Saccharomyces cerevisiae S288C: one gene and its partners. The protein of the gene in region 3 purifies or fractionates together with the protein of the main gene of each other region. This does not show direct contact. Each region holds a gene or a part of one and is shown on either strand. Other genes may lie near its edges.

Region 1 (3,459 bases), on a different chromosome or scaffold from region 3:
GAAGCACGAAGCTAGACAAAGACTAGAATCCTACGTCGCTTCCATCGAACAAACCGTCACTGACCCAGTCTTGTCTTCTAAATTGAAGAGAGGTTCCAAGTCCAAGATCGAAGCTGCTTTGTCCGATGCTTTGGCTGCTTTGCAAATCGAAGACCCATCCGCTGATGAGTTGAGAAAGGCAGAAGTTGGTTTGAAGAGAGTTGTCACCAAGGCCATGTCTTCTCGTTAAGATGTCATTCTGGTTAAGGTTATACACATATATATATTTTTCATTTTTAATGTCTTAGCTTTTGTATCTTAGATGAAGTTTTAGTTCTGTATATCACGATCAAGATATCATACAATCATAAATTCAATTATTCTTCTGTTTCCCCTCTTGAGGCATCAAACGAGTGTTTGACTGATACACACCAACATACTAAGGCAACTTTTCTGGCTGCCCAAAGCTGTGGCACGTATGAAACTGCTTTTCGGCTGCATAAAACAACCATGTGGAGTTTTTACTGTATTCGCATTTCGCCCCGCTAGCATTCTTCGTTCATGCTAAAAATGAGGCGTGGGCTAATATTCAGTATTAATAATTCCGGCACCCGCACAGCCCATACCGGAAAAGGGGCTGGCTGTTGGGCTTGGCAAAAAACTCAATCTGAGCAGTCATTTATAAAGAAAGACTTTAATTTGTCTTGCTAAACACTTGTAAGCCTTCCAAATATAGATCACTTAAGACAATCTAACAAGTGTCCAAAATGTCTGCAAACGAATTCTACTCAAGTGGCCAACAAGGTCAATATAACCAGCAAAACAACCAAGAAAGAACTGGTGCTCCAAACAACGGTCAATATGGTGCCGACAATGGTAACCCCAACGGTGAACGTGGTTTATTTTCCACTATTGTAGGTGGCAGTGCCGGTGCGTACGCTGGATCTAAGGTGTCGAACAACCATTCTAAGTTGAGTGGTGTGCTGGGCGCCATAGGTGGTGCATTCCTTGCCAACAAGATATCTGATGAGCGTAAAGAGCATAAGCAACAAGAGCAATACGGCAACTCAAACTTCGGAGGTGCTCCTCAAGGTGGACACAACAACCATCACCGTCAGGACAATAACAACAATAACGGTGGATTTGGCGGTCCAGGCGGCCCTGGCGGTCAAGGTTTCGGAAGACAAGGCCCACAAGGATTTGGAGGTCCTGGTCCACAAGAGTTTGGTGGTCCAGGTGGCCAAGGATTCGGTGGTCCAAATCCTCAAGAATTCGGCGGGCCAGGTGGCCAAGGATTCGGTGGTCCAAACCCTCAGGAATTCGGGGGCCAAGGTCGTCAAGGATTCAATGGCGGTTCACGTTGGTGAATGGCTCAACAGAGTGAGTGTCATTTTTAGCTAACTACATACTTGATTTATCTATATATACATATATACTACTCGTTTTATTATGATGTCGTAACAAATGACTTATTCGAGAAAAGAAAACGTGAAAAAATAAGCTAAAAATTTGGCGATGAGGTTCTCTGTTGAAGTTGGAACCCGCAATTCATGATTTTGGTAAGGTCAAGGATCATCAGTAATTAGCTTAAAGTAAGAACTACTCAATAATATTAAACCATTTATCCTTGGCTCGTCTTTCTATTGACCAATCAATACTATTTTAAACATCTCTTCTACCACATACTTTCAATCAGACTAGAATGAAATTGGATACTTCTCATATGAGATATTTGACAACTGATGATTTTCGTGTCCTCCAGGCCGTTGAACAAGGTTCTAGAAGTCACGAAGTCGTTCCAACTCCCTTGATTCATCAAATCTCGGGGATGAGATCGCAGTCCGGAACAAACCGAGCCATTAGTGATTTGGCCAAGCTTAGCCTTATTTCCAAAATGAGAAATGTCAAATATGATGGTTACAGGCTAACTTATAACGGTATTGATTATTTGGCTTTGAAAACCATGTTAAACAGAGACACTGTCTATTCTGTCGGTAACACTATTGGTGTTGGTAAGGAATCTGACATCTATAAAGTAAGTGACAAAAATGGAAACCCTAGAGTAATGAAAATTCACAGATTAGGTAGAACCTCTTTTCATTCCGTCAGAAATAATAGAGATTATCTGAAGAAATCCAACCAGGGGGCAAACTGGATGCATCTTTCACGTTTGGCAGCCAATAAAGAATATCAGTTTATGTCCATGCTTTATTCTAAGGGTTTCAAGGTCCCTGAGCCATTCGATAACTCGCGTCATATAGTCGTTATGGAGCTTATCGAGGGTTACCCAATGAGGAGATTAAGAAAACATAAGAATATACCCAAGCTTTATAGTGATCTGATGTGTTTCATCGTTGATCTAGCAAATAGCGGACTTATCCATTGTGATTTTAATGAGTTTAATATTATGATAAAGGACAAACTAGAGGATGAAAACGATTGTGGGTTCGTAGTTATTGATTTTCCACAATGTATATCTATTCAACACCAAGACGCCGACTATTATTTCCAAAGGGATGTTGACTGTATTCGTCGTTTCTTCAAAAAGAAACTGAAGTACGAACCAAAACCTGATTCATCAATGCTCGACACTGAAGGTTTCGGCGATGGTTATAAATATGCGTATCCAGATTTCAAAAGGGACGTTAAAAGAACCGACAATTTGGATGAATTGGTGCAGGCTTCCGGATTTAGCAAAAAGCATCCAGGAGATAGGGGCCTGGAAACTGCCGTTGAAAGCATGAGAAATGCTGTTTATAATTCAGATGACGATATGTCTAATGACGAGGCCGAAGAAGAAAATGGGGAGGGCGATTATTCAGAGGAGGATGAATACTATGACTCCGAACTTGATAATGAAAGTTCTGAAGATGACAGTGAAGATGCACAAGAAGAGGAGAACGAACGTATTATAGAGGCGCTTTCCAGTGGTGTTGAAAATCTAAAAATGGATAAACTAGGAAACTATATACTAGAGTAGTTTAGTTTAGACGACTGCATAAATGGCCGCAAATAATCAAGTTGTTATCCATAATTTTTTTGATTTTTAAGCCATGTTATTCTTCAGGATAAAAAAAGTGGTATTTATGAACTCTTACATATGCGTATTCATGCTATATTATAATATCGAATCTAAGTCAATCGTATTCTACTCCGGATCCATCCTCATCATCTTCATCGTCATCATTATCAATTTCTATCGGAATATCTTCGAGTTCTAACGGCTCCTTAAACTCTTTGTATTGGAGTTCCTGTTCTGGTTGACCATTTATAGAAGCAAAACTATTATCTCTATTCAAAGCGCTTTGGCCCTTTTTGTCTTCCTCTTCATCGTCTTCTTCATCATCTTCTTCTGCTTCCTCTCCGTCTTCTGCACCGTCTGAGGATTCTTGGCCACTCCCATCGGAAAGGTCGCTCTCAGCTTCGAAATTTTGGTCATTTTCTTCATCATCGTCTGAAAACACACCTGCCTTTTTCTCG
Region 2 (3,849 bases), on a different chromosome or scaffold from region 3:
CATATCAGGCACGTCAAGATTGATTTTGCCTGGTGTCGGAAATTATGGCCATTTCGTCGACAATTTATTTAATAGAGGATTCGAAAAGCCGATAAGAGAATACATTGAATCTGGAAAACCAATAATGGGAATTTGCGTCGGGCTACAAGCGCTCTTTGCCGGTTCCGTGGAAAGCCCTAAGAGTACGGGTCTGAACTACATTGATTTTAAGTTGTCCAGGTTCGATGATTCAGAAAAGCCAGTACCAGAAATAGGTTGGAATTCTTGCATTCCCTCGGAAAACCTATTCTTTGGATTGGATCCATACAAGAGGTACTATTTCGTCCATTCTTTTGCTGCCATTCTGAATTCAGAAAAGAAAAAAAACCTAGAAAATGACGGTTGGAAAATTGCAAAAGCTAAGTACGGTTCAGAGGAATTTATTGCGGCAGTCAACAAGAATAATATATTCGCTACTCAGTTCCATCCTGAAAAATCAGGTAAAGCTGGTTTGAACGTCATTGAGAATTTTTTGAAGCAACAAAGTCCTCCGATTCCAAACTATAGTGCGGAAGAGAAGGAACTCTTAATGAATGACTATTCAAATTATGGTCTAACACGCAGAATTATTGCTTGTCTTGATGTACGTACTAATGACCAAGGTGATTTGGTGGTTACTAAAGGTGATCAATACGATGTACGTGAAAAAAGTGATGGTAAAGGTGTTAGAAACCTTGGTAAGCCTGTTCAGTTGGCACAGAAATATTACCAACAGGGTGCGGATGAAGTAACATTTTTGAATATAACTTCTTTTAGAGATTGTCCTTTGAAGGATACTCCGATGCTAGAGGTTCTGAAACAAGCCGCAAAGACAGTCTTTGTTCCATTGACAGTCGGTGGGGGGATCAAGGATATTGTCGATGTTGATGGAACCAAAATACCTGCTTTAGAAGTTGCAAGTCTATACTTCAGATCTGGTGCTGATAAAGTATCGATCGGTACGGATGCAGTCTATGCAGCCGAAAAATACTACGAGTTGGGTAACAGAGGAGATGGAACGTCACCAATAGAGACAATCTCGAAAGCATACGGTGCTCAGGCAGTTGTTATTTCTGTCGACCCTAAGAGAGTATATGTAAATTCACAAGCAGATACGAAGAACAAAGTCTTCGAGACAGAATATCCGGGCCCCAATGGAGAGAAATACTGCTGGTACCAATGTACAATCAAAGGTGGAAGAGAATCTAGAGACCTTGGTGTGTGGGAATTAACAAGGGCATGTGAAGCTCTAGGTGCTGGGGAGATTTTATTGAACTGCATAGACAAGGATGGCTCTAATTCTGGTTATGATCTGGAATTGATAGAACATGTTAAAGATGCGGTCAAGATTCCCGTCATTGCATCCAGTGGCGCCGGTGTACCCGAACATTTCGAAGAGGCCTTCCTAAAGACCCGCGCAGATGCTTGCTTGGGTGCAGGTATGTTCCACAGAGGTGAATTCACTGTTAACGATGTAAAGGAGTATTTACTAGAGCACGGATTAAAGGTTAGAATGGATGAAGAGTAATGTGGTTGGATATGTATACTTTATAATCTTGACTCAGTCTATATACGCAATAATGATAGATGTTAAATCAGACATTTCACAACACAAGAGGATGTACAGCTTGGAGAAATTGTACCAACTTATATGGTTGTATTATTGGTGGTGTCAGTAGGGGAAGAAATAGAACATATTTTTCCACTTTTTCATTTTTTTTTTTTAGCGAGGCATCGGAAATGAAAATTTTTAAAAATCGATGAGCTCCCACTTCTTCAACATTGACGAAAGGAAATATGCACTAAGTTGTTTTAAATCCAAGATTTGTCTCGTTTTAAGACTTACAGATAAAACAATATATTAGAAAGATTAACTATAATGGCCAGAGCATCCTCTACTAAAGCCAGAAAACAGAGGCATGATCCACTTTTAAAGGATTTAGATGCAGCTCAAGGTACCTTGAAAAAAATCAATAAAAAGAAGCTAGCGCAGAACGATGCTGCAAATCACGATGCTGCAAATGAGGAAGATGGATACATAGACTCCAAAGCATCAAGAAAAATTTTGCAGTTGGCCAAGGAACAACAGGATGAAATTGAAGGTGAGGAACTTGCTGAATCAGAAAGAAACAAGCAATTTGAAGCCAGATTCACCACCATGAGCTATGATGATGAAGACGAAGACGAAGACGAAGACGAAGAAGCTTTTGGAGAAGACATCTCCGATTTTGAACCCGAAGGTGATTATAAAGAAGAGGAAGAGATAGTTGAAATCGATGAAGAAGACGCAGCGATGTTTGAGCAATATTTCAAGAAATCAGATGATTTTAACTCTTTAAGTGGTAGCTATAATCTTGCAGACAAGATTATGGCCTCTATCCGAGAAAAGGAAAGTCAAGTTGAAGATATGCAAGATGATGAACCACTTGCTAATGAACAGAATACCTCAAGAGGCAATATTTCATCCGGTTTGAAGAGTGGAGAGGGTGTTGCACTTCCAGAGAAGGTCATCAAAGCATATACTACGGTAGGTAGTATTTTAAAAACTTGGACGCACGGTAAGTTGCCAAAGTTGTTCAAGGTTATCCCATCCTTAAGAAATTGGCAAGATGTCATTTATGTGACCAACCCGGAAGAATGGTCACCACACGTTGTTTACGAAGCAACGAAATTATTTGTATCCAACCTAACTGCTAAAGAATCTCAAAAATTTATTAACCTAATTTTACTTGAACGTTTCCGTGACAATATCGAGACCAGTGAAGACCACTCTTTAAACTATCATATATACCGTGCGGTGAAAAAATCGCTTTATAAACCAAGTGCCTTCTTCAAAGGTTTCCTATTCCCATTGGTTGAAACAGGGTGTAATGTACGTGAAGCGACAATTGCAGGAAGTGTGCTTGCTAAAGTCTCTGTTCCGGCTTTACATTCTTCAGCTGCCTTGAGTTATCTTTTAAGGCTACCTTTCTCTCCACCTACAACTGTTTTTATCAAAATATTGCTCGATAAAAAATATGCTTTACCGTACCAGACGGTGGACGACTGCGTGTATTACTTTATGAGGTTTAGAATTTTGGATGACGGTAGTAATGGGGAAGATGCTACAAGAGTACTCCCAGTGATATGGCACAAGGCTTTCTTAACATTTGCACAACGTTACAAGAACGATATTACCCAGGATCAGAGAGATTTCTTGTTGGAAACTGTTCGTCAAAGAGGCCATAAAGATATCGGTCCTGAGATTAGAAGAGAACTATTGGCAGGAGCCAGCAGGGAGTTTGTTGATCCACAGGAAGCTAATGATGATTTAATGATTGATGTCAATTGATGCTGTAATATCAATTTTTCATCAATTTTATATCGCTCGGTCTTTCCCCCTTTCAACAAAGCTTCTGAATCATGTATAATAAGTAGAAAATATAGAGTAAAAGATTATTGTTCAGGCAAGTTCCTTCCTATCAATTCTTTATGCATAATCTATCGAAATCATCAAAATATGGCCTATATATTAGCCTATATATTAGCCTATATATTAGCCTATATATTAGTCCATATATTGCAGACTGAATTTTTTTTTCTAAACTATCCATGTTTGCAAGGAATTATCATAAAATGAGCATGTTGCGATCAAAGAATTTGACCAGTCGCCACCGTAACACATCGAATCATGGCCCTTCTTCAGATAATGTTGAATTTGAAAATACTCATCGGAATTATCATTCATGGTCACCACCTTGGCACCATTGTACATGCAACAAACTAAAAGCCGATCGGAGCCGTTGTGGTGAGATTGTTCCTGATCAATGGGGGATTCAACAAATCTCCAAA
Region 3 (5,701 bases):
AGGTATGACCTTCCAAAAAAACAAACATCTGGATCTTTTAGAGCATGATGGGTTAGCACCTTGGTTTTCAAATTTCGAGAGTTTTTATGTCAGGAGAATTAAAATGAGAATTGATGATTGCTTTTCTAGACCAACTACTGGTGTTCCTGGTAGATTTATTCGTTGTATTGATAGAATTTCTCATAATATAAATGAGTATTTTACCTACTCAGGCGCAGTGTATCCATGCATGAACTTATCATCATATAACTATTTAGGCTTCGCACAAAGTAAGGGTCAATGTACCGATGCCGCCTTGGAATCTGTCGATAAATATTCTATTCAATCTGGTGGTCCAAGAGCTCAAATCGGTACCACAGATTTGCACATTAAAGCAGAGAAATTAGTTGCTAGATTTATCGGTAAGGAGGATGCCCTCGTTTTTTCGATGGGTTATGGTACAAATGCAAACTTGTTCAACGCTTTCCTCGATAAAAAGTGTTTAGTTATCTCTGACGAATTGAACCACACCTCTATTAGAACAGGTGTTAGGCTTTCTGGTGCTGCTGTGCGAACTTTCAAGCATGGTGATATGGTGGGTTTAGAAAAGCTTATCAGAGAACAGATAGTACTTGGTCAACCAAAAACAAATCGTCCATGGAAGAAAATTTTAATTTGCGCAGAAGGGTTGTTTTCCATGGAAGGTACTTTGTGTAACTTGCCAAAATTGGTTGAATTGAAGAAGAAATATAAATGTTACTTGTTTATCGATGAAGCCCATTCTATAGGCGCTATGGGCCCAACTGGTCGCGGTGTTTGTGAAATATTTGGCGTTGATCCCAAGGACGTCGACATTCTAATGGGTACTTTCACTAAGTCGTTTGGTGCTGCTGGTGGTTACATTGCTGCTGATCAATGGATTATCGATAGACTGAGGTTGGATTTAACCACTGTGAGTTATAGTGAGTCAATGCCGGCTCCTGTTTTAGCTCAAACTATTTCCTCATTACAAACCATTAGTGGTGAAATATGTCCCGGACAAGGTACTGAAAGATTGCAACGTATAGCCTTTAATTCCCGTTATCTACGTTTAGCTTTGCAAAGGTTAGGATTTATTGTCTACGGTGTGGCTGACTCACCAGTTATTCCCTTACTACTGTATTGTCCCTCAAAGATGCCCGCATTTTCGAGAATGATGTTACAAAGACGGATTGCTGTTGTTGTTGTTGCTTATCCTGCTACTCCGCTGATCGAATCAAGAGTAAGATTCTGTATGTCTGCATCTTTAACAAAGGAAGATATCGATTATTTACTGCGTCATGTTAGTGAAGTTGGTGACAAATTGAATTTGAAATCAAATTCCGGCAAATCCAGTTACGACGGTAAACGTCAAAGATGGGACATCGAGGAAGTTATCAGGAGAACACCTGAAGATTGTAAGGACGACAAGTATTTTGTTAATTGAATTTTACCTAATTGCTAGTTAGGTGAAAAATTACAAAATTTCTGGAAGACGTTGGAAACACGCAACGTCTTTTTGACATAAACTTAAAACTGCCAAAAGTCAAACAAAAATTGCAAAAAAAGTAAAAAAAGTTACGAAAAAAAAAACATTTAAAAGAAAGAAGAAGTTAAAAGTGCACGCAATATGTTCCAGGATATGAAATGAAATACCTTTTGTTTCACCTTTTAAATAATTTAATGTTATATATACAACTTTATCGTATCATATTCGCAATTACATTATACAAGAATGAGTTTTTTTTTTTCGCGGACAAAAGAAGAACATGTCAACGCCAACCCCCTAGGTGATTTTGTTAGACAAAAGCGAATTAGGATCAGGGTCTGTTAAACTTTAAATGGATTATCAATTCTTTTGTTCACTGATTTTGAATTTATCAGCTACCATTGATTTAAACCCATTATTTAGTTTTGCAATTGCGTCCTCAAAGCATCGAGCAAACAATCATGTCGAACCTCTACAAAATTGGAACTGAAACTAGAAATAAAATCAAGAAGTTTCGTACATCTACAGCAAGAACCGACTCCATAAAAGCTTTATCAATAAAGATCGAACCAAAACCGTCCTATGAGATAATTGTCGATGAAGACGAACAAGAAGAGCTAGACGAAATTGAAGATTTGAGCGAATTAGCCGAGATCCTACCTGATAACTCACCTAGATTTGTACTAACTGCATATCCAACAACAACAAAAGATGGGTTCAAACAGACTCCCTTAGTTCTAGTATATTGGAAGCCAATGACGGTCGTTTCACAGGAATGGAAGATGCTTTATGCCGGCGCATTAGAAATGATCAGAGAGGAGTGCGGTACTTTTAAATTGATAGAGGTTTCTTCAGGTTTGGAGGATGACTCAGACGTTGAAGAATTGAGGGAGCAATTAGAAAATTGTTAGTATAGTCTATCTTAAACACTAAACTACCTCCTATAATCATGTAGTGTACTTTAAACATTTTTTTATCTTCATAGCAATAATATAAGCCTTTTACCACCCATAAACCATAAAGTAGACCCAAACATTTTTAAAAAAATTTTACGTTATAATTTTTTCTTTGTCGTTTTTTCTGAGCGCGCAAAGTAGCGGTGAAATTTTGATACGAATGAGATTTCCACTTCTGTACAGATGGAAATTTATGTTGGCCGACATATATCACAGTCGTGATTGAATTAACAATTTCTTTCTCATTAATATTTATTCTAAACGGTTAACCACTAAATCAATCAACAACAATCAGTCAAAATGGGTCGTATGCACAGTGCCGTATGTTTATTAACACCATAGCGAGATATTAATGCAAAAGTTGCATTGAATAGTTCGCTAAATCAGATGACACTCTAATGTGGAATTCAAAAGTGGATTTCTAATATAATTTGTCTCTGTCGGATCACAATTCTATTACAAGTTCCGGTGTGTACACAGGTATAGTTTATACTGGAGAGTAGTTTCTACTCGCTGTACATTAGCTGGGTGATTCCAATTTCTTTTACAAATATGTTGCATTAGTTTAACAGGTTATACTATCTGCCGTTTCTCAGTATAATTTACGCCGGAAAATTACTGATGGCTAGCCGCCTTTATGAATTAGTTTTCACAAAGCTCATAACATAACACGTTAACCTATCGGAGGAGAACCAAGATTGAAGAATCACCCGGAATAGTTATACTTTAATGGAATTGTATGGTCTGAACGAGGAAATATGTCATGATACACTTTTCTTCAAGCCATATGAATCTTCATGTTACTAACATTCGATAAATTTTTTGGAATATCCAATTCCACTAAATATTACTTTAAACAGGGTAAAGGTATTTCTTCTTCTGCTATTCCATACTCTAGAAATGCTCCAGCTTGGTTCAAGTTGTCCTCTGAATCTGTCATTGAACAAATTGTCAAGTACGCGAGAAAGGGTTTGACTCCATCTCAAATTGGTGTCTTGTTGAGAGATGCTCACGGTGTTACCCAAGCTCGTGTTATCACTGGTAACAAGATCATGAGAATCTTGAAGTCCAATGGTTTGGCTCCAGAAATCCCAGAAGATTTGTACTACTTGATTAAGAAGGCTGTCTCTGTTAGAAAGCACTTGGAAAGAAACAGAAAGGACAAAGACGCTAAGTTCAGATTGATTTTGATCGAATCTAGAATTCACAGATTGGCCAGATACTACAGAACTGTTGCTGTCTTACCACCAAACTGGAAGTACGAATCCGCCACTGCCTCCGCTTTGGTCAACTAGAGTGTTTAAATCATTTATTTCATTATTTTATATGTATATTTTGTATAACTAAAATTGATTTTTTAAACATCTCTTTATAAACGATAAGTTGCATTTTATTTTATTTCACTATTGCTAATTTTTGTGTCCGTTTCTAACTTCAAAGCTGCTCCCAGCCTTTCCTAAGGTTTTCAGTTACCAAGTCTGCCTGAGAAAGCAACAGATTAACACTTTTGTAATGAACAAGTAGAAAATATGGCTCAAAATTTTGGAAAGATTCCTTCTCACAAGTCTTACGTATTGAGCTTATATCGGACCGTTCTCAGAAACATTCCAAAGTGTTGCCACTCATATGCGTTTCAATATGAAATAAAAAAAACACTTTCAATACAATTGTTCAAACACAAGCATGACAAGTCAAGTTGGAGTGTTTATACTTTACTCAATGAATTCAGTTTGTTGAACAATTGCCTTTTGGAAGGTAAATTACAAGAAATCAAAAACTTAATGAAGCCATTAAAAAAGATGAAAAAACAACTGAAAACAACGAAAATCCTCAACTCTTTGACTTCATTAGGGGATGTAAAGACCAACGACCCAGAAGAAGTAAGAAGATTTCATGTTCTAAGTGCTTACATTAAGCGAAAACAAGATTTGGGCCTTTTACCTGCATACATACCAAAAACGTATCAGCACAAACTCCTATTACCATTAGCATTGAACGAACATGCGTGCCTGAAACTATTTCATATTCAGCAAAAATTGAAAAATGGCCCACCTTCTGCTGGGCTGTCATATACAAAAGAAGGAAGGAATCAAATATGGTTTGTTCGGTCACCAATTAACAAGGGCAGACAACAATCGAAAAAGCTGGGAATATTGATACGAAAAGAAAGGAAGGATTCTCAGAAAAATATCGATAATCTCAATTTTTGCGAAATTAATGCTGCTTGGGCATTACATGAGGCCATTTGGGAGGAATATCTAGAGTCGAAAAAGATTATTAAAGTAAACTTACCGAAATACTTGGAATACGCTGCAAATATCCCAAAGTCTACTAAATGTAATCCTTCGAGTCAATATCAGAAAGTTAAAGAATGGGTAGATCCCGTGAGAGAAATAATGTTCGAATTACATTCCAAAAGTTTTCAAAGAGTGGAGTACTTTAACAAATATAAGGAAAAGCTTTTAAAGAACGGTGGCCAACTAGCATATTTTGATAAAAAGTCAAAAGAAATGTACGCCAAACGGTTGACACTATTCAGAAAAATGAGCAAAGAAACATTACCATATGTGACACTCTTTATAGAAGGGAGGGACTTGCCAAGTGTTTTGGCGAAATACGGTTTTTAAGTGCAAAAGTTGCGTGAATCAGAAAGTTTAATAGAAAATTTACTGGTTACTTCCATTTCTATGTAAATAGTCACTCGTATGACCGCGATAAGGATCCTGATGAAGACGATTTAATTATACTTCCTATTCTATACAGGTTTCCTCATCAGTAGTCAACTGTCCAAAGTACACATCCAATGGTAAAGGCTCATTCTTGTAGGTATCATCAAACTCAAGATCCTTGAAACTCGTTATCAGCGATTTGACGGTATCTATAGGTACCTCACTTCCAACTAATTCTTCTAAAAGGCTTACCGAGTACATATCATCAAACTCTAGATTAATGTAACTAGTTAAATGCACGCCTCGCCTTTCATGCAGAGGCGTTTGTGATAACTGTCTCATTAAATACAACGAACATTTACTGTGATAATTATTACAATACATTGAGTGGATAAAGAAGCCATCAGATGAATTTTCTGCCGCACTCTTATAGCATAGCGGGTACCCACATATTTTCTTTCCCCTTCTTGCATTAATAACATCCATATAAGACATCGGTGAAAGTAGCCGTGCTAAGTATTTTAATGTCTGCTCATTTTCGCAAAATGATTCTGTGAGCATTGAAACTATGGCAGATTCAATCATTCGGG

The links.
Region 1: the proteins of RPS13 (region 3) and RIO2 purify together in Saccharomyces cerevisiae (affinity purification with mass spectrometry; 6 studies listed by BioGRID). This does not show direct contact.
Region 2: the proteins of RPS13 (region 3) and ENP1 purify together in Saccharomyces cerevisiae (affinity purification with mass spectrometry; 7 studies listed by BioGRID, with this or other methods). This does not show direct contact.

What each region holds. Positions count from the first base shown.
Region 1 is NC_001146.8:253,672-257,130, forward strand, and holds RIO2 (protein kinase RIO2), read left to right. Parts: upstream 1-1,681; coding exon 1,682-2,959; downstream 2,960-3,459. Other genes in the region: Hsp70 family ATPase SSB2, read left to right, coding at 1-229; YNL208W (uncharacterized protein), read left to right, coding at 747-1,346; RTT106 (Rtt106p), read right to left, coding at 3,117-3,459. UniProt on the Saccharomyces cerevisiae protein: Required for the final endonucleolytic cleavage of 20S pre-rRNA at site D in the cytoplasm, converting it into the mature 18S rRNA. Involved in normal export of the pre-40S particles from the nucleus to the cytoplasm.
Region 2 is NC_001134.8:712,504-716,352, reverse strand, and holds ENP1 (snoRNA-binding rRNA-processing protein ENP1), read left to right. Parts: upstream 1-1,897; coding exon 1,898-3,349; downstream 3,350-3,849. Other genes in the region: HIS7 (imidazoleglycerol-phosphate synthase), read left to right, coding at 1-1,546; RRT2 (diphthamide synthase), read right to left, coding at 3,599-3,849. UniProt on the Saccharomyces cerevisiae protein: Required for normal export of the pre-40S particles from the nucleus to the cytoplasm.
Region 3 is NC_001136.10:576,716-582,416, forward strand, and holds RPS13 (40S ribosomal protein uS15 RPS13), read left to right. Parts: upstream 1-2,742; coding exon 2,743-2,763; intron 2,764-3,302; coding exon 3,303-3,737; downstream 3,738-5,701. Other genes in the region: serine C-palmitoyltransferase LCB2, read left to right, coding at 1-1,444; AIM7 (Aim7p), read left to right, coding at 1,948-2,397; RRG1 (Rrg1p), read left to right, coding at 3,972-5,069; RTR2 (putative protein-serine/threonine phosphatase), read right to left, coding at 5,193-5,701. UniProt on the Saccharomyces cerevisiae protein: Component of the ribosome, a large ribonucleoprotein complex responsible for the synthesis of proteins in the cell.